Linked DNA regions of Pelodiscus sinensis. The protein of the gene in region 1 purifies or fractionates together with the protein of each later gene. This does not show direct contact. Links are inferred from orthologs where the notes say so. Each region holds a gene or a part of one and is shown on either strand. Other genes may lie near its edges.

What was found.
Region 2: the proteins of EXOC6 (region 1) and EXOC8 purify together in Homo sapiens (affinity purification with mass spectrometry; 4 studies listed by BioGRID and IntAct, counting the BioPlex papers as one, with this or other methods). This does not show direct contact. The link is inferred for Pelodiscus sinensis from reciprocal best matches to the Homo sapiens genes EXOC6 and EXOC8.

The regions. Positions count from the first base shown.
Region 1 is NC_134718.1:42,542,846-42,546,594, reverse strand, and holds the start of EXOC6 (exocyst complex component 6), read left to right. Parts: upstream 1-942; 5' UTR 943-1,015; coding exon 1,016-1,137; intron 1,138-3,749. UniProt on the Homo sapiens protein: Component of the exocyst complex involved in the docking of exocytic vesicles with fusion sites on the plasma membrane.
Region 2 is NC_134713.1:123,879,596-123,883,344, reverse strand, and holds the start of EXOC8 (exocyst complex component 8), read left to right. Parts: upstream 1-719; 5' UTR 720-1,007; coding exon 1,008-2,531; intron 2,532-3,240; coding exon 3,241-3,749. Other genes in the region: DNA-dependent metalloprotease SPRTN, read right to left, coding at 304-563. UniProt on the Homo sapiens protein: Component of the exocyst complex involved in the docking of exocytic vesicles with fusion sites on the plasma membrane.

The DNA.
Region 1 (3,749 bases):
TTTTTATAAAGTGTCATTAACTGCAGCAAAGCACAGGATTTGGATCAAAATCAAGTTTTTATTTAAGTCTCTGAGTGAGATACCAAAATTGGTAAGCTATAAAAAGACTGCCCTTTCCATGCAACACTGCCTGTTGGCATTAGGTTTGATTCTTGATGAATTTAGCACTTCATTCTCAAGTCTGACAAAAATGGATGAGATTGAGATTCATTTGAGGAAGTTGTACCAAATATTTTTCCATATTGTAGATTAATGGTCAGACTATGACTTTAAGTAAGTGGTGCTCTGAGTCTGGAGTCTCAATGCAGGATTGAGGCCTACATAATGTATTAGTGTGAATTTAATTTATAGAACCAAGGGACACCATGAACTTAAAAGCCACATTTCTATTTGAACAGTTTATCTAACACTGTAAAAATGACACCTAAAATTGCTGGAGCTGAAAGAGAAAAAAAAGCATAAACATTTCTCTGCTTTTTAGTGGACTTTGTGCTTTTCACAGCCCTTTTCCCTAAGGAGTTTCTGTTTGTGTGGGTCTCATGCAAAGCAACAGGGACAAGACAAACATTTGGCAAATAGGAAAATAGTTTTCAAACTGACAATAATTGACAAGATGAACTCAAAGGTAGGTGTCCTGTATGAATTCACGTGTAAATTATAATTTGAAGATAATTAACTTACAAGATGAAAGGGGACACCAAAAATCTGAAATACTTTTCACCAGTGAACTGTTTTAAATATGTTTATAAAGTGTTATATACTTTTCACAAAATCTCCCTTCTGTTTTCAAGAAAAGACATTAATTAAGTGGGAACAGAGTAATAGGCACATGTTACCAGAAGATAGGAAAACAGCAGCTGTGCAGCATGCTTGGACACAAAGTCCTCAGGAATCACAAGGTCAGCCCAGGGTCTAGTTTTTCACTGCTCTTTTGCTGACTATGGAATCATTGTGGTAGTGATCGTAAGCAGAATAAAAGTCCTGCACTAAAGTTAGAACTGTTTCATGCTCTGCAATGGCTAGAAAAAGCAAATTAAACTTGTTGGAGCTTTATTCAGAAGAAAACAAAGATCAAATATATGAAAATGTCTTGGCTGAGATTGAGTCGTTTGAGCTGCCTCTTGGAACCAGTTTGAGGTAGGCATGGTTTATATAATATTTTATTGTACAAACTGTTTTTGTTGTATTTGTTGGCTGTTGTTTTCCCCACCCTCGGGTACTGGAGACCTAATTCTGCACACACTGAAAGCCATAGGAAAACGTCCTTTGAATTCAATGGGAGTAGGATTTGACCTTAAAGGAACAAGCATAGACTCTACTCAGCCCCTTCTCACCAGAACAAAGAGTGACTTTACAGACTTACCCAGGGGTGGGCAATAAGTTTTGCCCACTGGCCGCTTCAAAAAAATTTTAAGTGGTCACGGGCCGGCACGGGGCCTAATTCGGAAGGGGCGGGGCCAGAATGCTTCTGGGCTTCCCCACCCCCAGACCATAACTGGTTTGGGGGTGGTAGAGCCCATTTGCCCCTCCTTCCCACTAGGCACCCATGCCCCTGGCAGGGTGGGAAGAGGCTTCACACACTTCCCTGCCTCCAGGGCCTGCAAGAAACCATCCTGCGAGCAGCGCATGCCAGTTTGAAGTGTTGCACACTCTTCGCAGGGCCAGGGCAGGTCGAAGGAAGCTTCAGGCAGCTCTCCCACCCCTACGCCCTGATTGGCCTGGGGGCGGGGAGAATGCACGAAGCCTCCTCTTCCCACCCTACCCCCTGCAAGGAACACGCGGCATTTCAAAGTGCCACACGCTGCTTGAGGGTGGGAGGAGATGTCATGTGCTCCCTCGCCCCCAAGTCCTGATTGGCCTGGGGGTGGGGGAGCGGCAGGGCTTCTGCGGGCTGGATCCAGCACGCAGAGGCCCTTTTGCCCACCTCTGGACTTACCAAGTGCTCCATGAAGAAATAAATTACTTTTATAAATGAAACCAAGAAACAATGGCTGTTTTTCCTTAATGAAATGATTTAATTAAAATGCTTGAAAAAAATAGATGGGTAACTTTTAATTCGGATATTTTAAGACAGACACTACCCTTGTTTATCATCAAAGTCCCCCCCATGCACTACTAAACTTTATTTAGTGAAATTCCCACATGCCTTTGAAAAATTTAGATATAATGCATTTACAGTTTACTGAATTTTTGTGGACATGAAACTTATATATTAAAGATTGTATGTTTAGCTTTACTGGTGTCTGCAGCAGTGTTAGGATAGCTTGTCTGGTATTGCAGATGTCAGTTTGCAGTAAGGATTATACTAAAGAAAGAAACCATATATCTTTATTTAGAAATTTAATTCTTCCTGAAAATTGAATTTATTACCCTATTCTGTAAATAAAATTGGTGATGGAAAAAAGAACGTGGGAAGAATTTCACTATATTTCAATTATTTCTACAGGGAAATAATATAGCTAAGGTAGCTAAAACCTGTAAACGGTTTCCTCTTGAGTTTACGGTTTCCAGCCTTGTGAGTAGGGGGTGTATTTTTTTTACTACTTCCCTAACTGACATAGCTATGCAGCAAAACTTTCTACTATAGACCAGGGTTAACAGTATATTTCTAACTATTGACTGCACTAGTTTGTTGGACTCAGGAGTAAGTAAGTAGGCCAATTTGCAATATCTCTCTTCTGTATCACTGCCTGATCTGTACTTTGCAGGATTTTCTTTACAGTTAGAGAAACTCTCTGTAGCTGACAATGGATGCCACCAGTAGGTTCAGCTGAACATGATTTAGCTGCAACTGTAGGTGACACCCAAACTGCATTCAGTACTGTTTCATTAACTGTGGCCTAGTGCTTGATGATGGCTTAATTACTGTTTGTGCATTAGCTGTAATCATGTTCAGCACCATTTCACTTTCTGGGCTGTTCAGCTGCACCGGATGCTTTTAACTGTTAGCAAAGGTTAGCTTTTCTAGTCTATGAAACACCATAAATTCACTTTTAAGGATGAAATTTTCTAAAGTTGGCCTCCATTTGTGCACAGATGATTTTGCATTGTAAAAATATCCAGGTCTGGCCCATGAATGTTGGCAGTTTTTGGAACTCAAACCCAAATGTATCATAAAAAGAGAAAACAAGTATAAAAGCTCCTACTTCTCTGCAATAATAAGGAGCCTGATTAATGTTCCCTCTAATTTTTTCCATTCATTTGCAGAATAAATGTTCTTATGTGCACCAAGACATGTACAGATGTGCACCATCAGTAGAAACACATGCTTCTGGCTCTGGGTGCTTTGCTAATCAACTGGGCAGCATTTGAATCTCTCCAGGTGGCCACACATGTGCTTATAGGAAACACTAACCCTGATGTATCTGAGTCCAAAAGCAGTGGAAAACATGTATCTAGTACCCAGAGTCAACGGAATCTTGCATATTTTTATACCCAATCTGCCAAATTCTATAGGTTAAATAGAGAAAAAATTAAGCAGTTCCCATGAAAATAAATAACAATACTGAAAAGAAATCTATACTTAAGAAACTGATCTTGCAGTACCAAAAAACACCATCTTCTAACACCTGCATCTTGTTAGATTCAGTTTGTAATATTTTTATCCCACATACAAAATTTCTACTAGCTAAAGTGAAAAATACTACGAGCTGCTCTAATTCCACTGCAAAATGCATCACTGATCAACGGCACCACAGAGACATATATCCAGTAGCTGGAACTTGCTGGAGCCTACAATTTTGGCTGAA
Region 2 (3,749 bases), on another chromosome or scaffold:
CATCGCTAGTCACCGCCACCCGGTGAGCCTCGAGGGGCGCCGCTGACAAGAGTCTGCCCGAGTGGCCCAGGCGCAGCATCACTCAGTGACCTGCTCGGGGACCCGGGCGCCTTTGCAGACGCGCGTCGGTTTTTCCCCCACATTGCCCCGAAACCAGCTTCCCCGCGAGCTCCCGGCTCCCCCCAGACGCCGCCCGGCTCCCGGCAGCGGGTTTCTGGGCCCAGCGCGGCCGCTCGATCCAGCTCTCCGGGGCCGGGCGCGCTCCCTGGCTCCCGCTGCCCCCGCCCCCAGCCGGCACCGTACAGCGTCATGCGCGGGCTCCACGTCACCGCCACGGCCGCCAGCTTCCCCCAGAAGAGCGTCTCGTTGAACTGCACGAAGAGGCCGCGCACGTCGGGGCTCGGGTCCAGCAGCTCCCAGGCCTCGTCCACCACCGAGAGCGGCCGCGGCGGGGACGAAGAGCCGGGCGGGGACCCGCTACAGGCCGCCGCCACTGCCGCCGCGTCATCCTCTTCCTCCCACTGCGCCTGCAGCCGCAGCGCCAGCAGGAAGTCTCCGTCCATCCCGGAGCGGCGCGAGCGGGCGGGAAGCACCAGCCTGTCAGTCTCCCAACCGGCAACCGTTTACTTCCACTGCGGCGCATGCGCAATACAGCTAGGCAGCCTCCGACGGCCTTCTCCGCACATGCGCATGCTCCCAAACGTTGCGCGTGCGCGTGCGCCACTGACATCCCACACTTCACTTCCGCTCTGTCCAGCGCAGGCGTACTACCCCCCGGGTGGAGGGGGCTCAACCAGCGCCTGCGCAGGACAGCTAACCTGGCTCGGACGCCGGGATATTACGTCATTCAACAGGCGGTCGCTCTCCAGGCGCAGGCGCGATATGGCGGAGTAGGTGGCGCGGAGAGCCGTTTTCCGGCGCAGGCGCGGTAGCCACCGTACCTGTCACCCGTCTTCCGTTCCGCTGTGGGTGCGTCGCGGCTGGCGGCCTCCCTGCCCGCGGGCCCCATGGCGCTGCCGTTGGCGGAGGGCACGGGGGGCGGGAGCCGGCTGCGGCGGCAGCTGGAGTCGGGGGGCTTCGCCGCGGGCGAGTACGTGAAGCAGCTGTCGCAGCAGTCGGACGGGGACCGGGACCTGCAGGAGCACCGGCAGCGCATCCAGGCGCTGAGCGAGGAGACGGCGCAGAGCCTCAAGCGCAACGTCTACCAGAACTACCGGCAGTTCATCGAGACGGCGCGCGAGATCAGCTACCTGGAGAGCGAGATGTACCAGCTCAGCCACATCCTCACCGAGCAGAAGGGCATCATGGAGGCCGTCACCCAGGCCCTGCTGCTGCAGGCCGACCGCGACGACCCCGCCCAGGGCGCCCGCCGCGCCGCCGCCGACCCCCACAGCAACCCCTTCCTGCCGCTCTCGGCCAAGGAGGCCGCCGCCAGCGAGGAGGGGCGGCAGCGCACCCTCACCACCCTGCTGGAAAAGGTGGAGGGCTGTCGGGACCTGCTCCCCGAGAGTCCCGGCAAGTACCTCGTCTACAACGGGGACCTGGTGGAGTACGACGCCGACCACATGGCGCAGGTCCAGCGGGTGCACGCCTTCCTCATGAACGACTGCCTGCTGGTGGCCGCCTGGCTGCCCAACCGGCGTGGCACCTACCGCTACGACGCGCTCTACCCGCTGGAAGACTTGGCTGTGATCAACGTCAAGGACAACCCACCCATGAAGGACATGTTCAAGCTGCTTAGGTTTCCTGAAAGTCGCATTTTCCAGGCTGAGAATGCCAAGATCAAGAAGGAGTGGCTGGAGGTGCTGGAGGAGACCAAACGGAACCGCGCCCTCAGCGAGAAGCTGAGGTTGGAGCAAGAGGCTCTGCCACGGGCTGCTCCACCACCTCCTGAGACCGCTAATCCTTTTGAACAAGAAGATGAAAAGGAACCCCCACCCGAGGAAGAGACAGTAGATCTGTCCATGGAGTGGATCCAGGAGTTGCCTGAAGACCTAGATGTCTGCATTGCCCAAAGAGATTTTGAGGGAGCAGTTGACCTGTTGGATAAATTGAATGAGTATTTGGGAGACAAGCCCGTGAACCAGCCAGTGAGGGAGTTGAGAGCCAAGGTAGATGAGAGAGTTAGGCAGCTCACTGATGTACTGGTTTTTGAGCTATCTCCAGATCGATCATTACGAGGCGGTCCTAGAGCCACTCGCCGGGCTGTGTCTCAGCTCATTCGCTTGGGCCAGTCAACCAAGGCATGTGAGCTTTTCTTGAAGAATAGGGCAGCTGCCGTACACACAGCCATTCGTCAACTGCGCATTGAGGGTGCCACTTTGCTGTACATCCACAAGCTTTGCCATGTCTTTTTTACCAGCTTGCTAGAGACTGCTAGGGAATTTGAAACAGACTTTGCAGGCAACAGTGGCTGCTACTCTGCCTTCATTGTGTGGGCCCGCTCAGCTGTGAGGATGTTTGTAGATGCCTTTAGCAAGCAGGTATTCGATAGTAAAGAGAGCTTGTCTACTGCTGCTGAATGTGTGAAGGTAAGTGTGTTAGAAAGATAGTGATCTAGTGAACTGACCACATTGCTGGAAGAAGACAATAACTTCTGATGTTTAAGCTATGTTCACTTACTGATTACCTCTGTGGCTTTGATCTGGTCACTTGAAAGGCGCCAGGCAAAAGGGGGAAATTAGCTTATGTTCATGTTTTCTTTATGTTATGTGAAAGGCTTTTTTTGTCTGTTTTGTTTTTTGTGCTTGTGTTTTATCCTGTGAATATCGGGAGTTCAAAGTTTGGTCTTCCCAGGTTTTGCCCAAAGACACTTCAGAGATTGTAAATGTTTGTCAGCTCTTTCACACCTTATTTGAAGAGAGAGACTTTATTTAACAAAAAAAGTTTCAATATTCCTTTCTCCAAAGAGTATATTGGATTTAACCTGAATATGGGTTCACAAAAAAGCTTTAAAAATACTAAAATTCTCTTATTATTTAACTACCCTGCTTTCAGGCCCTTACAACATGATTTTATTACTTCTCTAGTGGTTCCATGTCAGAGAAGATCTGCATTTCTAATATTAAAAAAAAAGATTAAACCAATGTCTTTTTTTTTAAAAGACTTACTTCATTTCTGCTTTATATTTCATTATTTATACTTTTCAGGAGAATATGGTGATTTAACTAGACTATTTTGTAAAATATTTAGTTTAGAAGGTGATATCCAGATAAATATTAATAACGTTTATTATTGAAGGTAGCGAAAGAGCACTGCAAGCAGCTCAGCGAGATTGGGTTGGACCTCACCTTCATCATTCATGCCTTGTTGGTGAAGGATATCAGAGGAGCTTTGCAGAGCTACAAGGATATCATCATCGAAGCCACCAAGCATCGCAACTCTGAAGAAATGTGGAGAAGGATGAACCTGATGACCCCAGAGGCTCTGGGGAAACTCAAAGAGGAGATGAGGAGCTGTGGGGTGGGCAGTTTTGAGCAATACACTGGTGATGACTGCTGGGTGAATCTTAGCTACACTGTGGTGGCTTTCACCAAGCAGACTATGGCCTTCTTGGAGGAAGCCCTCAAGCTGTACTTCCCAGAGCTGCACATGGTTCTATTGGAAAGTCTAGTGGAGATCATCCTTGTGGCTGTCCAGCATGTCGATTACAGTTTACGGTGTGAACAAGACCCTGAGAAAAAAGCATTTATCAGGCAGAATGCATCTTTTCTTTATGAAACGGTCCTTCCTGTTGTGGAGAAAAGGTT